Arabidopsis thaliana: one gene and its partner. The protein of the gene in region 2 interacts with the protein of the main gene of each other region in a pairwise test. Each region holds a gene or a part of one and is shown on either strand. Other genes may lie near its edges.

Region 1 (4,476 bases), on a different chromosome or scaffold from region 2:
GATGAGAAAAGAAAATAGGGGGAAGACACTAAATTTACTCCCCATAATTAGAGGGAGGCTGATTTGGAGAAAAAATAGTCAAAACAAAATAACAAAGCATTGATATTCGAAGATACACTTTATTTGCTCCTCCGGGGTCCTCAAGGGGCTTTGTCACAGAGAAATAAAAACCAAAGTTTTGGAGAAAAGGGGTTTTGGACCGCAAACTCATACCTCATGACAAGCATAAACCAACTCATCACCAGTTGTTTATTGATTTATTCGATAATGATAGTCTTGTGACTACTTTTCTATCTAGTGTGTTTCTTTGAAACCTTGCAATTTTCAACATTTTAAACAACTTTTGTTTTTAGTTGTAAACGCAGGCTAAACATATCCTCTTTGAAAATATATTCACATTGGGCAAAAATAGACTGTTAAAAAATTTCTACCGACCTTTTTCATGTAAACACAAATGCGAAATAATCAAAGCCTAATACAGCTATGAGATTCGATTTTGATAAATCGATCAGTCTAACTATGGCTCCTATACTTTAACCTTTTCTAAATTCAAAATCTGAAAAAATAAAACCGGAATCAAACCCAAAAATGGAACAATGAACTTGGTTTGTCTATTCCCCCTGATAAGTTGCGTTTAAGTATCGACAGTAATATGAATTATAGGAGCATAAGAAGACTTCTTAGTTCTCTCAAGACCAAAATAGAAATGCAATTCATAGGTGGAGAATAATGTAATGCACCACATCATCAATCTATTTGATGAACTTTAATAAACAACAAACTCGTTTCTTAAAACAGGAATTTTAAAAGTAATACTGCCTGCTCTTAACATATTTCATAGTTTTTCTTTTTCCTTCGGACATGTCAATGAACACCACATTCCTTTTTAAGAGGAACTAGCCGGTGTTTTGGGTTCATCGCCTGATTTGGAGGCTGGAGGAGGAGTGCCTTCTACTCCCATCTCGGCTCTTAGATCATTGATGCTTTGCTCCAGCTCATTGATTCTGCCTCCCATGTCATCAAGTGAACCATCAAATCAAAATCAAAGTCAAGGAGATCAAAACCAATGTCATGAACACAAGATTGCTGATCAAAGAGTTACCACAGATTACAAACTTGTATCAGTTCATGGTGATAAAGTTGCTTTTGTTTAGAATATATAGCGAGCAGAAGAACAAGCATGCATATAATAGCAACTTAACAAGAGAAAATACCATAGAACCATGTGCTACTACCCATAGAATAGACATTTAGACTCTCAAGAAATACTTTAATCAGAAAAATAGACAGATTCTAATGATAATTCTCAATACCTAGTACTAAACTTCTTTCCTTGAAGACACAAATAATCAATCATCATTACTGGTTCTAGGAGGGAAACATTTCATATATTCTACTTCAAGCAACACTCAAGTAAAACCACAGATTGATATAAGGATATTCTTTGTGATGATGGAGTCCGACATTGTCTGGAACCTGGTTTGCTGAAACACACAAATGTGACCAAATTTAATCAAAATCTACCTATTGAAGGTATAATTCCAAGGCCTACGAAGACATAAAAGCTGAAAAACCTACCATCTGCTGGAGAAGATTTTGGACCTGCATATAAAAATTCAAGGATTCAGTGATAAACCAAGTGAAATTGTCTCAAAGTCACAAAAATACCAAACAAAGAGAACGAGAATACTCACAAAAGCAGTCATATCAGCAGTGCTCTGCTTAGTATCCTCAGAATCATGACCATCCTGTCAGCAAAAGAAAAAAAAAACTGTAAGAAGAAACTCAAAGACACAGTAAATATAACAATCATCAGGACAAGAAATTGAAGCTTTATACTAACGAAAAAAAATTGTTACAAGGAAAGAAACAAGCATGAACTATTGCCCATTGAGAATATTTCTATCTGAACTTTCTTAGTACTACTAGCATTACACACAGCAAACTCGATACATGAACATTTCTAAGTAAGAAAAAGGACGAAAAAGTTAACTTATACTGAATCTCCCCATCAGATCCTGGACTTCACGATACTAGAGTTCTTGAAAAGCCGAATTCACAAGTTCAAAATCCACAGATGAAAACAGAAAATCGAGCAAATGCAAAATCTTATTGTAACCCAGCAAAAGATGCTCTAAATCGTCCAGATTTCACTATAAACTCAACATTTCGATAATTGATCTACAATAACAGAACAACCATAAGAATATCATGCGAGATTCCCACTAAACCGTAAAAAAACCTAATCCGAAGATATATCCTTAAATGCAATCGACAAATCCGAATAAACGAGCCTAGGTTTCGTGAACGAAAACGCAAAATCGAAAAAGCGCAATGATATTAGGAGGCGGATATTTACCATTTTTAGGGTTTTCTTGCGAGTGATCGGAAAACTGGAGAAATTTTGATTTCAGCGAAAAGCGATGAGAGACGACGGAGGAGAAGAGTGATGCGATGTTTATAAAACGAGAAGAGAAACGCTGTTACTGTTAACCCCAACCTTATAGGTATACAATGTCCAAAATGCCCCCTCTTTACTTTAGTTTCTATCGTTATGATTCGATTGGGTGGGATCATGTGTGTGTGATTCAAATTTCAAATATTTTTATGTACGTTTGGTATTGAGATCTAGATCTTAGGATGATTCAAATCATTATTGTGGATGTTCAAATCTGCAAACATTTATTTGTAATCATCTTATTTGTAAATTTGGCTTAACTTTTTGTTCCTCTTGATGATTAAAGGCAGACCAATTCGAATTGTGTTGTATAACGACTTATCTCACTAATGGCATAAACCCTGACACATTGATGACTGAAGTATGTAGATTTGGAACAGCCTATTTGTTTCTTACCATCAATAGATATATTAACGAGGTTGTTGAACACTATCATGATTTTACAAGAGAAATGAAACACATGATTTATATAATTATATGATTACAACCAAAAGACATACATAAGCATCTTATCTCCATGTGAGAGATTCTAATCCTCCACAACCCAATAGAGGAAGAAGTAACAAACCTGACCACAAGACAATCAGGAGACAAGTGAAATGTTGCTTATCCTCACACCATTGGTATTTGATATAGTTAATTTTCGTGTATTATCAATGGAATACAAAAGACACGACGATCACATCTGATATGTTACAACTTCTACAACAAGAGCAAATTCCAATTTTAAATATCTTTTCCAGAAGTGAATACGGATATCAACATAGGAACCAAACCTAAAACAGACATGGAGCCTCTCATCCTCACCAAGATCTTCCCTTCTTCTTGTACATTTCTTCTACAGTCTCGGCTTCCAATGGAAAACCCTGCGTGCACATCAGATGTATCTAGATAGATACCGAACCTTTTTGTTGCTTGGAATCCAAGTCTTCCTCTTCTGGTTCTTACACGACCAAGTACAGTTCCTTTTTCATGTTGTCTCTCCACGTCTTCTGATTCTTGATTCTCCACGAGAAGTGTTTCTTGCTCGAGACATTCTTGACTCTGTTCGTCCCATATAATTTCAGGGTAAGAATCCAGTAATTTCCTTTTCTTCTCCTCCAAATCATCATGTGAATGAGAAGTGTGCCCTGAGTTAAGTAACACATTCCACAAGGAACAGAATAGAGTGAAAGAGCTAAGCTGGGAGCCAAAGACACCGGCCTTTTCTACATCGGTATTCTGCTTTTGCAAAGAACCGGCTTTAGACCGGATCTTAACTGAGCAACATAAGATCAGCAAGTTCAATCTCCAATCCGAACATGTAGATTCGCTGCTTTTGTTTGCGGAGAAGAAGCTCATGTTGTTCTCTGCCAGAACAATTCCTAGGCATCTTGCTCTGGTCTATACAGCTTAACTCTGGAACTGCTTGTCTGATTGATTGATGCATAAGAGAAGATCTCTGAGAAATAAACTCCTTGTAGCTTAAAGAATCTACAACATCGGAAGCTGCATGAGTTAGAACCACGATAGCATTTTTCCATATTGACGAGCCCAGGGAACTGGTGATGATTTTAAGTAAACGGATGTCTGGAGTGTCATCTAGACGGTCAATATAGAGGTGATATCAACTGGGAACTTTCTCATGCTTTTCTTTATTGACATAAGGACTTCCTGATTAAACTGTTCCTCAGTTGCAGAGGACAAGAGTCCTGGCGTATCAAGTATACTTATCTGGATTCCTCCTACATTCCCAACAACATAATTTGCAGAGTTAGTGGTAACTCCAAATGCACCAACAGCAGATTTAGTCTCCCCAAAAATAGAATTAACCGTTGCACTTTTTCCCACCCCAGTTTTCCCGATAACAAGGACGTTAATGGAGAAGTCTAGATCAGCTGGAAACTCTTGTTCAGGCAGCACTATCTTTGTTCCGTCAAACATGTGATCAAGCCCTAAGGACGTTGGATGTTCTCCACCAGCTAGGCTCATCTTAGACGCAACTTTAGTAACAGTTGAATTTTCACGGCTAAGACATG
Region 2 (4,624 bases):
CAACTCCAATAGTTCGGATTGTACTCCATAGCTGTTCTTTAAAGTGAGTCCTTTCTGTGGATATCGTATGGATCGGTGCACTAGCAGTTCCAAGGACACCATCTTTTGTTGGTTTTCCTACGTTTCTAAATGCCCCAAGACCTCCAAAAGTCTCTTCCTCCCTTGCAACACCAGCAATACCTAAAAGAAAAACAGCAAAACATTTCCCAATATTATATAGAGAAATGGCTCAGAAGCTGCTAATACAAATATGAAAGCAAGGACACAATCCAAGTATCCATTCAGATTCAAACAAACAGTCTCTCCCTCCTTACCCACCTCTTTGCAATGTTCGAACCAGCTCACTTTGATCGAGCCTATCAACTTTAACCAATGCCTTAATGTATTCCGATAACGCAGAGGCATTCGCATGCAAAGAAGGTTGGCTTTCAAACATTCTGATAACAGCCTCAGGATCATTTCTTCGAATAAGTTCTCTCAGATGTGCAACCTCATTAACTTCTTCTCTATCACGGACTCTGCGAGCAAAGCTACCAACATAACTCGATTGAAACCTCGTTCGCGGTAAAGAAGCTCCACCACCACCCACAGCTATAGATAAAATAAAACCAATTTACATCAAAAACACTTCTAAAACAACAAGAACAACTCATAAACGGAATCAGAATTTACCTCCAGTAACTCCCACTCTAGGAAAAGAGGAGTAAGCTCTAACAAGTAAGCTTCTTAAACTGCTCAATTCCCTTTCATGACTCGAAACCTGTCATCGGTGAAGAGAATCAATACAGATGAAGTTAATTACTAATCCCAAACTCAAAATGACACTAGACAACACATGAAAACATTTTGATAAAAGTGAATACTTTTACCCATTTTGAATCAAAAAAATTGAAACTTTTTATACCAATTTCAAAATTAGGTGACTTGGGTAGTCAAATAAATCAAATGACAATATCACAGAGACAATCTAGAATCCTAAAAGACAACATTTTGAGGGCAGAGAAGAATTTGAGCTTCTAGGGTTTGAAAAATATCATCTTTAGCTTATGAATCACAAAGATCTTGATAAAACCCATCAGAAATTATTATCTAATTAGATCAAATCCACTACAGTATCAAACCAAAGTCGAAACCTTTTTCGTATTAAAAATTGGATAAAGGGGAAAAGAGAAAAATGAAACAAAAACCTTGGTGATGATGCGCCTCCAAGCCATCAATCAAATCTCTCCTTCACGATATCTTAAAAATTGGTGTTAATGTCTGATAAATCGAAGTTCCTCGATCTATATCGGAAACAAAAGACTTCTTCGTTGTGTTTGGGGAAGAACCGTTCTAATCTTATTCCCTAAAGTCTTAAAAACACTAAATTACACGTGAGAGACCTGTTTGGTTATCGGGTGAGAGAAAAATTGTGCAGCAGGTGGAGACACGCACGAGATATGTAGGTCGCCTCTTAAGTACATAAATACCCTTGGACATACCCAATAATTCATTTTAGTAGGCTTTTTCTGGCGGCCCACATTAAAAAGAAGGACCTAGAACATAAATTGGCATCGTTAGAAATGGGCTTAAGTAAAGGCCCATATGATATATATATAAAAAAAGAGATTCTAGATTAGTAACGAAGTTTCTGGAACATTGTCTTGTCTTGTCGCCACGTGCTCACATAAATGTCAAAGAAGCTTCAATACAGTGAAATGATCTTGTCTTGTCTCTAGAACCTTCTCTTCTCTCCCCTTATAATTTCATTTCTCTCTCCTCCACGCCTCAATCTCTCAACTCAAAACTCAACATTTTCTGAAGAAAGTCGCAAACTTTACCCAAAACCCAGTTTCTAATTTTAGCAACAAAATCAAAAATATCTACTTTTGTTTCTCGAAAGTTACGAAATTCATACAATCTAGCTTATCTCTGAGCTTATGGATTTGAGATAAACAACGAAAATGGAAGAACTGAAAGTGGAAATGGAGGAAGAAACGGTGACGTTTACTGGTTCTGTAGCGGCTTCTTCATCTGTAGGATCCTCTTCCTCTCCTAGACCAATGGAAGGGCTTAACGAAACAGGGCCACCACCGTTTCTGACTAAGACTTACGAAATGGTGGAAGATCCGGCGACGGACACGGTGGTTTCTTGGAGTAATGGTCGTAACAGCTTTGTGGTGTGGGATTCTCATAAGTTCTCAACAACTCTCCTTCCACGTTACTTCAAGCATAGCAATTTCTCAAGTTTTATTCGTCAGCTCAATACTTATGTAAGTACCTCTTTGCTTCCTTATATCTACTTAGTCTTGTTTCTGTTTTTGTTTCTAATTTTTAATTTTGGATTTCTTTAGATGGGTTTCCTATGAGTCTTCAGCTATAAAGGTTAGTTCTTTAAGCTTTTAAGTGGCTAAATTGAAATTAGATGCATTGAGATTTTGGTCATATGTTAAGAGAATCATTTAACATAAACTCTGTTCAATCCTCTGTTTCTGAAGTTCAAAATGTGTTTGGTAGTAAAAACAGAATCTTGGAATGATAAGTAAGGACTCTGCCTCAAGTTCAGTAGCTGATGAAACTTGTTTTGGTGATTGCAGGGATTCAGAAAGATTGATCCAGATAGATGGGAATTTGCAAATGAAGGGTTTTTAGCAGGACAAAAGCATCTCTTGAAGAACATCAAAAGAAGGAGGAACATGGGTTTGCAGAATGTGAATCAGCAAGGATCTGGGATGTCATGTGTTGAGGTTGGGCAATACGGTTTCGACGGGGAGGTTGAGAGGTTGAAGAGGGATCATGGTGTGCTTGTAGCTGAGGTAGTTAGGTTGAGGCAACAGCAACACAGCTCCAAGAGTCAAGTTGCAGCTATGGAGCAACGGTTGCTTGTTACTGAGAAGAGACAGCAGCAGATGATGACGTTCCTTGCCAAGGCGTTGAACAATCCGAACTTTGTTCAGCAGTTTGCGGTTATGAGTAAAGAGAAGAAGAGTTTGTTTGGTTTGGATGTGGGGAGGAAACGGAGGCTTACTTCTACTCCAAGCTTGGGGACTATGGAGGAGAATTTGTTACATGATCAAGAGTTTGATAGAATGAAGGATGATATGGAAATGTTGTTCGCTGCAGCAATCGATGATGAGGCGAATAATTCGATGCCTACTAAGGAGGAACAATGTTTGGAGGCTATGAATGTGATGATGAGAGATGGTAATTTGGAAGCAGCGTTGGATGTGAAAGTGGAAGATTTGGTTGGTTCGCCTTTGGATTGGGACAGCCAAGATCTACATGACATGGTTGATCAAATGGGTTTTCTTGGTTCGGAACCTTAACTATACGGTATTAACACATCTACTTGTTGCGGTCTAAGTTATGGTAATGCTACCACTTTTATTTACTAGTTGAATTGTTTGTTTGTTTGTTTTGACTCAAGGAAGAGTCATTGAGTGTGGTTTGTTGTACATTTGTGTTTTCTTGTTCTGATGAATAAAAAACTCTGATTTCGTTTGACAATTTTAATGGTTGTTTGTTTTTCCTTCTCCAGACCTTAGAAGCATGAGATGGAGCTGCGATAAGAGTATCAAGCTCCGTGTCTACTTATCTTAGTACTCACTTTGGTCAACATTTAGGAGTTTATGTAATTAGTAACTTTTGCTAAGCTTTCTTAGAGAAAAGAGGTCATGATACTAAGAAAGTATTTCTTTGAATGTAACACTTTTAATTTTGAAGTTCATAAAATTTACAAACTTGTTGATCTAGTTACTTGGGACATAATTGGAACTAAATGGCCTGTGTGATATTTTTGTAGATCAAGTTCCTGCTGCATCCTAGTCCTATGTAACAACTCACGACAACTTCAAAAAAAGAAAAATGTTAAATTAGATTCAAGAAAAAATAACTCATGACATAAAAGTTTTTTTAATCAAGTTTCTTATAGATGATGTTCCAGTTTCAAATTTGGATTAAATTATTCTATATTCAATGTTTGTCGTTTATGGATTTGCAAACATTTACAAGATCATGCACACAACACAACACGTAACTATAAGCAATAAATAAAACAAGATTCAGATTTAAGATAATTAATCGTTTTTAGAGGAACGGAGGAAAGAACATGTGAAAACAACTATGAGAAGAAAACTCAGTACTATCGATGATACTACCATCACCAAGCTTGAACATCTTAACAGCTTCATCATTCATTCCATCATTACAATATTCTCCATCATTATCATCGAAGTAGATATAATTCTTCAAAAGTCCATGGTACTCGGAACTCTCATCATCATGCTTGATAAATTGATCAGCTTCTGCGCCACTCTGATACGTTCATGAGAAGTTGGCACGTGTGAGAACTGAAGTGAGAGATTGGAGTCACGTGTGAAGAAGATTATAAATAGTAAGAGAGAGTAGAGAGAAAAGCATCCTGCGTGATCATTGATGTGTAAAGAGGATTAGAGCTTTATGTGCTCTGTTCTTGGGAGATAAGATTGGAGAACTGTAACTCCAAGCTTATCGATTTAGGGTTTGTTTCATTGTAATTGGGATTTTAAGGATAAGAAAGAGAAATTCATAGTTTCATTCTTATCACACTCTTTCGCACATTATCAACGAAGTAGATAGAATTGTTCAAACATCCATGGTACTCGGA

Evidence for each region. Proteins that work in one complex are often made in the same cells at the same time.
Region 1: the proteins of HSFA2 (region 2) and HSBP interact in a two-hybrid assay, tested with the Arabidopsis thaliana proteins (one study listed by BioGRID).

Annotation. Positions count from the first base shown.
Region 1 is NC_003075.7:8,985,978-8,990,453, forward strand, and holds HSBP (heat shock factor binding protein), read right to left. Parts: upstream 2,685-4,476; 5' UTR 2,363-2,684; coding exon 2,360-2,362; intron 1,749-2,359; coding exon 1,695-1,748; intron 1,603-1,694; coding exon 1,579-1,602; intron 1,485-1,578; coding exon 1,442-1,484; intron 1,024-1,441; coding exon 887-1,023; 3' UTR 621-886; downstream 1-620. Other genes in the region: AT4G15810 (P-loop containing nucleoside triphosphate hydrolases superfamily protein), read right to left, coding at 3,185-3,836, 4,101-4,476. UniProt on the Arabidopsis thaliana protein: Negative regulator of the heat shock (HS) response. Affects negatively HSFA1B DNA-binding capacity in vitro. Involved in acquired thermotolerance but not basal thermotolerance. Crucial for seed development, after fertilization and during embryogenesis.
Region 2 is NC_003071.7:11,133,913-11,138,536, forward strand, and holds HSFA2 (heat shock transcription factor A2), read left to right. Parts: upstream 1-1,711; 5' UTR 1,712-1,943; coding exon 1,944-2,252; intron 2,253-2,333; coding exon of another isoform or gene 2,334-2,364; intron 2,365-2,576; coding exon 2,577-3,305; 3' UTR 3,306-3,880; downstream 3,881-4,624. Other genes in the region: ftsh4 (FTSH protease 4), read right to left, coding at 1-180, 319-591, 673-760, 1,188-1,214; AT2G26160 (F-box SKIP23-like protein (DUF295)), read right to left, coding at 4,544-4,624. UniProt on the Arabidopsis thaliana protein: Transcriptional activator that specifically binds DNA sequence 5'-AGAAnnTTCT-3' known as heat shock promoter elements (HSE). Seems to be involved in other environmental stress responses.